Linked DNA regions of Canis lupus familiaris. The protein of the gene in region 1 interacts with the protein of each later gene in a biochemical or structural test. Links are inferred from orthologs where the notes say so. Each region holds a gene or a part of one and is shown in the gene's direction. Other genes may lie near its edges.

Region 1 (3,524 bases):
CACCTTCAACATGGACTTGACTCCCTTAAACCCAGAGACCTGTTGGAACCTGACCCCAAAACATGGTTGCCAGTATATCAGGCAATATGGACTTTGCAGTGTCACCATGGAGATGGCATCCTTCAAGAGTTCCCTTTTTAGCTTGTGAATCTTCAGATTGATAATTCTGTCATTCTCATTTGGTTTCCTGGAAGTCAGGATTGGCTTGTGAAAAGTTGTTAGCAATAGCATGCTAAAGGTGAACTATCAAGTCTCATTCGAAACTTTGCCTATTCAGAGCATCACACTGTGTTTTATAGTAGCTCTCTGATTTTAGTAGTCCATTGAAGAAGGGAGTTTGAAAGTTGTTGTATACTGTTTAGGATTATCTGCCCACATCCTGCCTGAAACACTATGATTGCTTTTGAAAAGTATCTTTAATAAAGCTGGATATAGTTAAAAAAGAAAAGAATCAGGAGTTTCATGTATACTTGGCTGCTGGGCAGTTTTCTCTCTGCCTCATTCTGTCTTGCTCTTAGGGAGTAAACAGATCTTGCACAAAAACAGCAAGGAAAGCCTTTTTGCCTAGCAGTAGGTAACTGGTCTTTCTTTTTCCTTGTGTAGCTCTTGAAATTGGGGCTGACCTCCCATCTAATCATGTCATTGATCGTTGGCTTGGGGAGCCCATCAAAGCAGCCATTCTCCCCACCAGCATTTTCCTGACCAATAAGAAGGGATTTCCTGTTCTTTCTAAGATGCACCAGAGGCTGATCTTCCGGCTTCTCAAGGTGGGTGGTAGAAGGGTTCAAAAGGTATTCCAGCTAATCCTCTTGCCTTACTCACATATGTATGATGCTTTTTTTCCTGTGGGCCTGATTCTTTTCCTCTCTGGTTTCTGGAGAGCAATTTTAGCAAAGTTGGAGGTCTTGAGAACAAAAGAGGCAAATGGCAGTAGGTGTCCCAGAAACATTTTAGAAGGAACCAGATCTCATGAGAAGTTTGCAGGTTTCATTTAAGATGTTAAAGTGGGAATCCCTGGGTAGCTTAGCGGTTGAGTGCCTGCCTTCCGCCCAGGGCGTGATCCTGGGGTCCGGGGATCAAGTCCCGCATCGGGCTCCTTGCATGGAGCCTGCTTCTCCCTCTGCCTGTGTCTCTGCCTCTCTCTCTTTGTGTGTTTCATGAATAAATAAATAAAATCTTAAAAAAAAAAAAAAAAAAAGATGTTAAAGTGATGGGATGCCTGAGTGGCTCAGTGATTGAGTGTCTGCCTTCAGCTCAGGATGTGATCCCAGGTCCAGGGATCGAGTCCCACACCAGGCTCCCTGTGAGGAGCCTGCTTCTCCATCTGCCTATGTCTCTGCCTCTCTCACTCTCTCTGTGTCTCTCGTGAATAAATAAATTAAATCTTAAAAAAAAAAAAAAGATGTTATAGTGAGGATCCATGGGCCTGTTTGAGCCAGGATGAAGCTTATACCACATAGGAGGGCTTTATGAGTTTATTGAAGCGTCATGCTATTTTGTTGGTACCTGGAGGGATTTTTGAACTGGAAGACTGCTAGGCCAGGCCTTATTTTATGCTAGGGCTCTTTGGCCATAAACCATAACAATATTCCAGAATCTTGGTTCGAGAACTGCGTCTGATGGTCTGACCTCTCTCACAGTTGGAAGTGCAGTTCATCATCACAGGCACCAACCACCACTCAGAGAAGGAGTTCTGCTCTTATCTCCAGTACCTGGAATACCTGAGCCAGAACCGCCCTCCACCCAATGCCTATGAACTCTTTGCCAAGGGCTATGAAGACTATCTGCAGTCTCCACTCCAGGTCGGTCTACAGTGCAGCGAGAGGGAGCTGTAGGGGAAATGGCTTTGGAAGTAGGTGCCCTACCATCCTATCAAAGCTCAGGAGGCAGTGGGAAAGTTTTTGGTATGCTGGTGCTTTGCCCCTGCCAGAAACTGGCTGGCTAACTTTGCCTTTTTCCTCTTCTTCATCAGCCACTGATGGACAATCTGGAATCTCAGACTTATGAAGTGTTTGAAAAGGACCCTATCAAATATTCTCAATATCAGCAGGTATAATGTGGGTCTAGGTCAAGTACAGGGCCAGGAAGACCTTGGTGAAGGTGGGATTGGAGCCACAAGGTCTTTTCTCCTTCCCTCCCCAGGCCATCTATAAATGTCTGTTAGATCGAGTGCCAGATGAGGAGAAGGATACCAATATCCAGTGAGTGCTCTTCCCAGAGATATGCATGATGACTTCTTTATCTGCCAAGTCAGCTTGACCCTTCCCCTTTCTCTCTTAGGGTGCTAATGGTGCTGGGAGCAGGCCGGGGTCCCCTGGTGAACGCTTCCCTGCGGGCAGCCAAGCAGGCTGACCGGCGGATAAAGCTGTATGCTGTGGAGAAGAATCCAAATGCTGTGGTGACGTGAGTAGCAACCTCCTTGTTGGGAAGTTTATCTACAGTGCCAGTTTTTTTTTTATTAGTGTCCTCACTTGCATCATCTTTATTTTAGGCTAGAGAACTGGCAATTTGAAGAATGGGGAAGCCAGGTGACAGTAGTCTCATCGGACATGCGGGAATGGGTGGCTCCAGAGAAGGCAGACATCATCGTCAGTGAGCTTCTAGGCTCCTTCGCTGACAATGAACTGTCACCTGAGTGCCTGGATGGAGCCCAACACTTCCTAAAAGGTGCCTCCAGGCTGGGATGTACCAGCTTAAGGGGAATGGATTATCAGCTAGGAAGGCTGTGGTGGGTGGGGGTGCGGGTATAGCAGCCTTGGAGGAGGTTGCAAAGTTTAGGGGAAGGTGGGTGGGACTTGGGTCAGTGCCTTTAGCAAATGCAATCATCTTTCTGAACCTCAGCATTCTGTAAAATTTTATATCTGTAAAAATGAGAGGAGTGGACTAGATTAGAGATTCTTAGTCTGAGATCTGTGGACTCCCTATACTGACATGATACATACCTTGGGCTTAGCTTTCATCCAGATCTCTAAGAGTTCTAAGACCCCACAGAAGAACCATTAGTTCAGAATATCTTAGGGTTTTTTCCAGTTTTAATCTTGTGTGTCTCTGTAGGTTAACCTAGAAGTAGAATCTCCCATGACAGGGGTTGGAAGGAGGTTGGCCTGGGAATGTGACAACATTGAGCCACCTGGGTCTGTTTTGGGGGTTGTTTTGTTTTGTTTTGTTTTCAATTTTTATTTTAAGTAGGCTTCATGCCCAACATGGGGCTTGAACGTACGACCCTGAGATCAAGAGTTGTACATTTCACCAGCTTAGTAACTTAGCTAGCCAGGTGCCCCTGCCTGGGTCTATTTGATGTGGGAGCTTTAAACCTTCAGTTAGACATACCATTTTCATCCCTTCGGAACTTATATGATCCTCCTGCTCTGCAGATGATGGTGTGAGCATCCCTGGGGAGTACACCTCCTTTCTGGCTCCCATCTCCTCCTCCAAGTTATACAATGAGGTCAGAGCCTGTCGAGAAAAGGACCGAGACCCTGAGGTAAAAAGCCACTGTCTTCTGCAGAGCTCTTTTCTTTTTA
Region 2 (3,747 bases), on another chromosome or scaffold:
TATTAGAGACAAGAGCTCTCAACAATGTAGGTGCCATTCTGAGGTTTGTGACCAAATTTTTTTTAAGATGTTATTTATTTAGGGAATCCCTGGGTAGCTCAGCGGTTTAGCGCCTGCCTTCGGCCCAGGGTGTGATCCTGGAGACCCGGGATTGAGTCCCACGTCGGGCTCCCTGCATGGAGCCTGCTTCTCCCTCTGCCTGTGTCTCTGCCCCCCTCTCTCTCTCTGTTTCATAAATAAATAAAATCTTTAAAGAAAAAGATTTTAGGGATCCCTGGGTGGCGCAGCGGTTTGGCGCCTGCCTTTGGCCCAGGGCGCGATCCTGGAGACCCGGGATCGAATCCCACGTCGGGCTCCCGGTGCATGGAGCCTGCTTCTCCCTCTGCCTGTGTCTCTACCTCTGTCTCTATCTCTGTGTGACTATCATAAATAAATAAAAATTAAAAAAAAAAAGATTTCATTTATTTATTCATGAGAGATACACAGAGAGAGGCAGGGACACAGGCAGAGGGAGAAGCAGGCTCCATGCAGGGGAGCCTCATGCAAGACTCCATCCCAGGACCCTGGGATCACGACCTGAGCCAAAGGCAGACACTCAACCACTGAGCCACCCAGGTGCCCCTGTGACTAGAATTTAAAGTAAAAATAATAAGCTAAACTGTGTGATTTTCTTCAGGTACATTCCCGGTGTTGGAGCTGAATTCGCATAATTTTTTGGGCTTTGTCAGAACTACATTTCCTTCGCGAGTGTATTTACTGCCCCGTAACACAGGACTCTGAGCCCGCGGCCCGCGGCCCGGCCTACTAATTGGATCTGAGCTCCCCAAATCCCCGCCCTTACTGGAATTTTCCTCCTGGACCGGCTCTCAAAGCGCTCAGCAGGCGCAAGGCACACCTCCAGCCGCCAGGGGCCGCCGTGAGGTTGGGCGCGGCCGGAAGGGAGTGCGGCTCCGGGGGCCTCGGCGCTTCCGCCTCGCGTTCTCAGCGTTCCTCGCGCCCTTTACGTCCGAGCCCGAGGAGTAGGCGTTTCCGGCCATTCATACTCCTAGTTTTTCGGGCCTTGGTAGTCCGGTTCTGTACATTAACGGGCTGAAAGAGCGACGGCGCCGCCAGGATGAAGCTCGTGAGGTGAGGGGGTAGCCCGGCGGGGTGGGGGCTGTGACGATTTGGGCGGCGAGCGGGAGGCCGCGCTGCCCCTTTGCGGGAGGCGGGAAAGCCGCGTGCGCGCGCGGCCTGCTAACGGCCTCCGGCGCCCGCCGCTCCCGCCCCAGCTTGGCCGCGCCGTCGCGGGCGCTGCCGCCGGGGCTTCAGACTCGTTGGCGCGCGGCCCCCGCGTGTCTTCAGGCTAGTGGACGTGAAGGCCTGGCCATTTCTTCCCCCCTAGTGTCTTAGAGGCCTGCAAGGCGGCGGCGCCAGGCTTACAGGCTTCTGTTTGCGGTTGGTAGAAGACGTTCGTTCCCTTAGAACTCGTACTCTAGTCTAGATGATTTTTCTGGCCGGTCTCAGCCCTCAGGACCCGCAAAGACGACTAAATATACGCTCCCGGAGAACGTGGGAGACCTAAGGAAAATTGTACGCGTTGCATTAAGTTAACGAGCTTTTATTTATTTATTTTTTTTTTAAAGATTTATTTATTTATTCATTAGAGACACACACAGAGAGGCAGAGGGAGAGGCAGGCTCCATGCAGGGAGCCCGACGTGGGACTCGATCCTGGGTCCCGGGATCACGACCTGAGCCAAAGGCAGCTGCCCAGCCGCTGAGCCACCCAGACGTCCCGTTAAGCAGCTTTTAGAATGTACTTAGAAGCTGCAGGGGTTCATCAGGAAATGACGAAACCCATTTCCGAAATGTTTTAAATCAGGATTGGACTTCTGGTTTTTTGGTCTTTCCTTTTCCTTTTCCCTTTCCCTTTTCCCATTTCTTTTCTTTTCTTTTCTTTTCGACTCCTTACAGTTAAGATTACCCAACTCCCATTTCCCTTCAAAATAGGACTTTAGGGATCCCTGGGTGGCTCAGCGGTTTAGCGCCACTTTCGGCCCAGGGAATGATCCTGGAGACCCAGGATCGAGTCCTACGTCGGGCTCCCAGCATGGAGCCTGCTTCTCCCTCTGCCTGTGTCTATGCCTTTCTCTCTCCCTGTGTCTCTCATGAATGAATGAATGAATGAATAAATAAATAAATAAATAAATAAATAAATAAATAAAATCTTTAAAATAAAAAAAAAGAAAACAAAATAGGACTTTAATTCAGGAAGAATCTCCCAACGTCTGGCAGAGTCACTTTACGTATTTGTGGCTGATTAGCAGATGATCACTATTCTCTTGTGTTTAAACTTCATTGGTTAGTTGAGCCTATTGGTTTATGATTTGAGTAATTCATTCTAAACTATCTGCAGATAAGGTTTTGGTGTTTTTCCTTGAGGCAGGGAGCCTGGAACATAGAGGAGATTTCTGATTAAATTAGTTATAAATGTAGCTAGTCTTTTGTCTGAATCAAGATTAGTCTTATTGCGATCAATCAATTATTGGGCACCTATTACACTAGGCACAGGCAGTGGATTTTGTTTTTTTAAGGTGTTCTTTGAACTATTTTGCGAAGACAGACAAATAGACAATTTCTAGTGTGAATGAAATAACGTATAAAACCCTCAATATGTATTCGGAGTTCTTAAGGAAGGCATTTAAGGTTAATTTTTAGTCGAACTGTAACTTTGGAGAAAAACACCCCAGAATTTAAAGTATATTTTCACAATTTCTCAATCCCTACCTATTTGAATCTACTTATAGTTTTGTGTCACACTCTTTAGAATCCGTTTATCTCATTTAAAGAAACTGCATGTTGTGACACAATTTTCCTGAAAATTTTAAAGGCTGTACTGAACCCTATTCTTTGTTTAGACTGTAGAAATAAAATTTCTTCTTACTGGTGAATATGTTTTGTTCCAAGAAAATGAGTATTTGTCTAACTGCTTTGCATTTTTGGTTGACTTATTTCTGTACAGTGGTTGATGGCACTATCATCCTTACTGCCACTCTAACCAAAAACCTGGGAGTTTACTTTGACATCTTTCTTAATAATCTCATAAAATTGCCAGGTTTTCACAGTTTTTACCTACCTCATAGAAGTATCTCTCATTATCCAATTTTCTTTAAAAAAATTTTTTTTGTTTATTTATTCTTGAGAGACAGAGAGAGAGGCAGAGAAACAGGCTTCATGCAGAGAGCCTGATGCCAGACTCGATCCCTGTTCTCCAGGATCACGCCCCAGGCTGAAGGCAGGCACTAAACCGCGGAGCCACCCAGGGATCCCCAACATTATCCAGTTTTCTTTGGTTTTTGAATTCAGTTAGTGTGGATTTGGATCCTGAAGGATACTATGCAAGCGGTATGTTTTTGGGTGCTATGAAGGATATTATCTGGATATTTAAGTTTCAGTAAGAACGAATTCAAAGGGAAGGATTCATCGGAAAGAATTCAAATCTGTTTGATTTCTGAGCTGGGATAACTCTTTTCTGCCAAGATACCTTTGCTGTCATTCATTCCAGTGGCACCACTGAGTCATAAAAGCTTTCTTTTATTTCCACCCAAGGTTTTTAATTTTACTTCTTGAGGTGACTATCTCATGCAATGAAATACAATGTACATTTGCCAGTTTTGAAAAATTTACACATCTGTATAACCCAAACCCCTGTTGAGATGTGGAATATGGAACATTACCGAAACCTCAAGCCCTTCCTAGTCAGTCT
Region 3 (3,747 bases), on another chromosome or scaffold:
ATAACCACATGTTTATCATACTGGACAGCACACTTTAATAGAGCTTTTATTTCCACTAGTAAAGGTTCTGTTGGGAGAGTGTTGACCTAGATCCAATTAGATTTGGGAAAACTTGACTCATGGGTCAGAACAGAGCACACCTTAATTGGTCACATTCTTTTCTCTGCAGGAAAAGTCTACATAGAGGAAAGAAAAGATAGTGTGTATCAAATGTTATACTAAATTTTTTTAGAGTAGTAAAATTTTTTATTTAAAATTTTAAATTTGACTGTAGTTGACACAATGTGAACATTAGTTTCAGGTGTACAACATAGCAGATTCAACAACTCCATATGTTAGGCTGTGCTTACAAGTGTAGCTCCCATCTGTCACCATATAAGTCCACTACAGTAGCATTGGTTATATTCCCTATACTGTACCTTTTACCCCATGACTTATTCCATGATTAGAAGATTGTGTCTCTCACTCCCCTTCACTGTACCTTTTACCTCATGACTTATTATTCCATGATTAGAAGATTGTGTCTCTCACTCCCCTTCACCTGTTTTGCCCATCCCTTCCACACTCCCATTATACTAATTTTTTAAAAATATCTTTTATGGTTTTTTATTTTTTGAAGGTTTTATGAGAGAGAGAATGGGCAGAGGGAGTGGGAGAAGCAGACTTCCTGCTGAGCAGGGACCCCAATGCCAGACTCAATCCCAGGACCCTGGGATCATGACCTGAACTGAAGGCAGATGTTTAACGAACTGAGCCACCTAGGTGCCCTCTTTTATGATTTATAAACACATTCTTCAAGGGAGATGAAGTAAGCTGTCTAATATCCCCAAAGATTGTCATAAGGTGGCCTAGTGAGCAGGAATCCCAGCTTCTAGCTTTTCTTCTACTTCATTGTTAAAATGATTATTACACCCTAAGTAGGTTTGTTATTAACAGTTTAGGCAGTATGGGAAAGGCAGGGAAAGCTGACTTTAGAGTTGAGTTTATCTCCAGCTCCTGCCCTGGCCGCCTGCTGTTCCCCTGGGGCTGCAGAGGGCCAGTTGTTGACAAGCATCAAAAAACAGGAGCCCAGGCCAGGCTACCGTGGCAGCTCAATGTTTAGGGTCAGTGTGACTCATATGGTGTCTGCACATTGTTTTCATCATCTGTCCTGGTTTCTGATGCATTAACTTTAAGAACTATCATTAACTTAGGATGGAGGATCACTGGGCACATCCATTTGTGGGTGGCCCAATTCTAGCCTGAGTTCTACAAGCACCTGTGACGAAAAGAGTGCAATGTGGTTGGAGCTCAATTTAACTTTTGAGAGCTGAGCTTCGGAGACTGTCAGGTAGGCTCCGGTAACTGAATATTCTAACAGGAATCCGAGGTTTGAGGGCTGAAGCACATCCAGCCTGGTGCGGCAGACAGAGATAACAGCTGGCGCTGCAGACCCAGCTAGTCGCCAGCCCTGGGATATGCACCGGCAGGACCGACAAAAATCCGATCCCGGGACCCGTAGGTGAGGGGCTTGGGCTGCCGCCGGCCCCGCCCCTCCCGCCCCGCCCCCGGCTTCCTCGTGACCCGTGCCCCGCCCCCCTCGGCCGGGAGCACCCCCGGCTGATTGGCCCCTCCGCGGCGTATGCTCCGGCTGGCAGCCAGGCGGGCGCGTCACGTGGCCGAGCAGCGTCCAGGGCGCCGAGCCGCGGGCCGCCAGGCATGGACCGTCAGGCCGCCGGAGCCCGGGCGCTGGGGGCCGCCGAGCCGCCTCGGGGGGCGCCCCCCAGCCCGGGGGTGAGCGCGGCCGCCACCTGCGGCCCGGGGCGGGAAGTTGCGGGGCTCGCGGGCCAGGCCGGGCGGGCCGTGCCGGGCGGGGCGGGGCGGGCGGGGGCCGCGGGGCCAGGGGAGCGCCGTTTGGGCGCGCGCTCGCGCTGGAAACTGCCGGGCCGCGGGCCCGAGAGCGTGGGTGGGCGAGCGCGGCGGGCTGGCGGTGCCGCGGCGCCTCTGCGCGCTTGCTGGATGGGAGGTGATGCTGACCGCCCGGGCCGGGGGCCCTGGGCGGGGCGGGGCGGGGCGGGGGGTGGGGGGGCTGGGCCGCGGCCAGGTGAGGGACCTGTGACCACGGGTGGCTACGCACAGCGCGCCCTGGGCACCGCATGAGGTCTCCTGCGCTCTCCTTTTCTGTTTACTGAAACCAAAGGCCCAGCTTGACGCAGGGTTTCCAAAAACTTGTTTTCATTTGCGCGCCAGACAGCTTCTGGTTTTTCAAAGACCGTTTTTACCGTCCTCACCTGTCTGTCCTTGTTTACGGTCAGTAAGTTCTGGATGGTGAGCTCCGCGAGGGGAGGAACCCTCTGTTGAGTGCTGTAAACCCGGCGCCTGGCGTAGTACCGAGAGACACAGCTCCTAAATCTGAGGGAGGAATGGAATGCTGGTTTAAGCATCAAAGAGGGTACTAAACCGGAGTAAGATATGAAAAATGTAGTGATAGGTATAAAATTACTTTGGAATGCAGATGGGATGAGACTTCAGGACGTACAGGAAGGGATGTACGCTTCTCTCCAAGGGGACAGGGTGGTGGTGCCTGCAGAGGCCTGGAGGTGAGGAGGTACAGGGCAGATGGCTGGGAGCTGGGGTCATAGAGCCTCAGAGCCAGGGGAGAGAACGATGCTCCACAGGTTGATAGGTGGTGATGGGGAAGTGTGAATGCCATGGCCAATGTTATGCTCCTCTGTGGAGGGCTGTTGAAAATTTTTGAGCAGAGTGATGATTAATCCTGTTAAGGTTGGGCAGGGTGGGTGAATGGGAGGACAAGTGGCTATGGCAGTGGTGCACGTGAGGGAGCCTATCAGCTGACCTGCAGTAGTCCGGAGGGTTGTCATTCAACCATTCCCAAGGTGGAATTTATTCATTAAATCTAAGGATGACTAGGTCATGAGCCAACTGAGGCCGGTGCCAAGTGCAGTTTAGGTGTGAGGGCAAAGAAAGGGGGTTTCAGTTCAACTAATGTTACATTCCTGTTATGTCCGTGGTGTTTTCAGAAGTGTTCTCTCCATTGTAAGCTCCTTGCAAGGTCAGAATAGTCCTCTCCAGTGTCCAGAGAAGGAAGCCCAGGCATGGTGGTTGAAGCAAGCTATCCAAGGTCACACTCTGAATGAATGGCAGAGCCTGAATTGAAACCAGGTCTTCTTAGGCAGGCTGTGAACATTTCTTGTTCCTTTTACAAAATGGTCTTTAAGTGATGAGAGCAGAGAAGCATATGGTTGGCTGTAGAAGAAGATTTCCCTTGAGCATTACTTAGGAAGTACAGCTACATGTTGCCCCTATGTATCAGGAGACAGAATTTGGTAGGAAGTTAGAGGGAATGAGGTTGAAATGATTAAAATTTACAGGCTCAGAGGAGAAGAGATTCACAGAGCTGGAATCCCAACTTCTCAGGAAGAGGTGCTGCCTGCAGCTACTGCTGGGGTCTCAGAGCTTGGAGGAGGGGTCCTGAGGGCCTAGGATGGAGACCCCTGAAGAGAGGGCCCAGTGATGAAGTTGGCTCTGCCAATGTTGGCAAACTAAACTGGATCGAGCAGCTGCTATAGGAAGGTACTGCTGATGCTGCCAGGGATGAAGTGTCGCTGGGGTGGTATCTGCAGGAATAGGAAGGAGAGAGGCCCTTCTACCTCCAGCCTTGATGCATCTAATACGGCAAAACAGAAATAGGGATTGCAGAGTCCCAGCCCCACCCTCAGAAAGGTGAGGATGGAAGAGTGGGGTTTG

Evidence for each region.
Region 2: the proteins of PRMT5 (region 1) and SNRPD1 form a complex in vitro, tested with the Homo sapiens proteins (2 studies listed by BioGRID, with this or other methods). The link is inferred for Canis lupus familiaris from reciprocal best matches to the Homo sapiens genes PRMT5 and SNRPD1.
Region 3: the proteins of PRMT5 (region 1) and COPRS form a complex in vitro, tested with the Homo sapiens proteins (3 studies listed by BioGRID, with this or other methods). The link is inferred for Canis lupus familiaris from reciprocal best matches to the Homo sapiens genes PRMT5 and COPRS.

The regions. Positions count from the first base shown.
Region 1 is NC_049229.1:3,374,052-3,377,575, reverse strand, and holds part of PRMT5 (protein arginine N-methyltransferase 5), read left to right. Parts: intron 1-603; coding exon 604-767; intron 768-1,640; coding exon 1,641-1,802; intron 1,803-1,972; coding exon 1,973-2,050; intron 2,051-2,142; coding exon 2,143-2,201; intron 2,202-2,280; coding exon 2,281-2,403; intron 2,404-2,491; coding exon 2,492-2,667; intron 2,668-3,374; coding exon 3,375-3,484; intron 3,485-3,524. UniProt on the Homo sapiens protein: Arginine methyltransferase that can both catalyze the formation of omega-N monomethylarginine (MMA) and symmetrical dimethylarginine (sDMA), with a preference for the formation of MMA.
Region 2 is NC_049228.1:66,473,077-66,476,823, reverse strand, and holds the start of SNRPD1 (small nuclear ribonucleoprotein Sm D1), read left to right. Parts: upstream 1-997; 5' UTR 998-1,114; coding exon 1,115-1,128; intron 1,129-3,747. UniProt on the Homo sapiens protein: Plays a role in pre-mRNA splicing as a core component of the spliceosomal U1, U2, U4 and U5 small nuclear ribonucleoproteins (snRNPs), the building blocks of the spliceosome.
Region 3 is NC_049230.1:41,069,241-41,072,987, forward strand, and holds the start of COPRS (coordinator of PRMT5 and differentiation stimulator), read left to right. Parts: upstream 1-1,595; 5' UTR 1,596-1,698; coding exon 1,699-1,773; intron 1,774-3,747. UniProt on the Homo sapiens protein: Histone-binding protein required for histone H4 methyltransferase activity of PRMT5.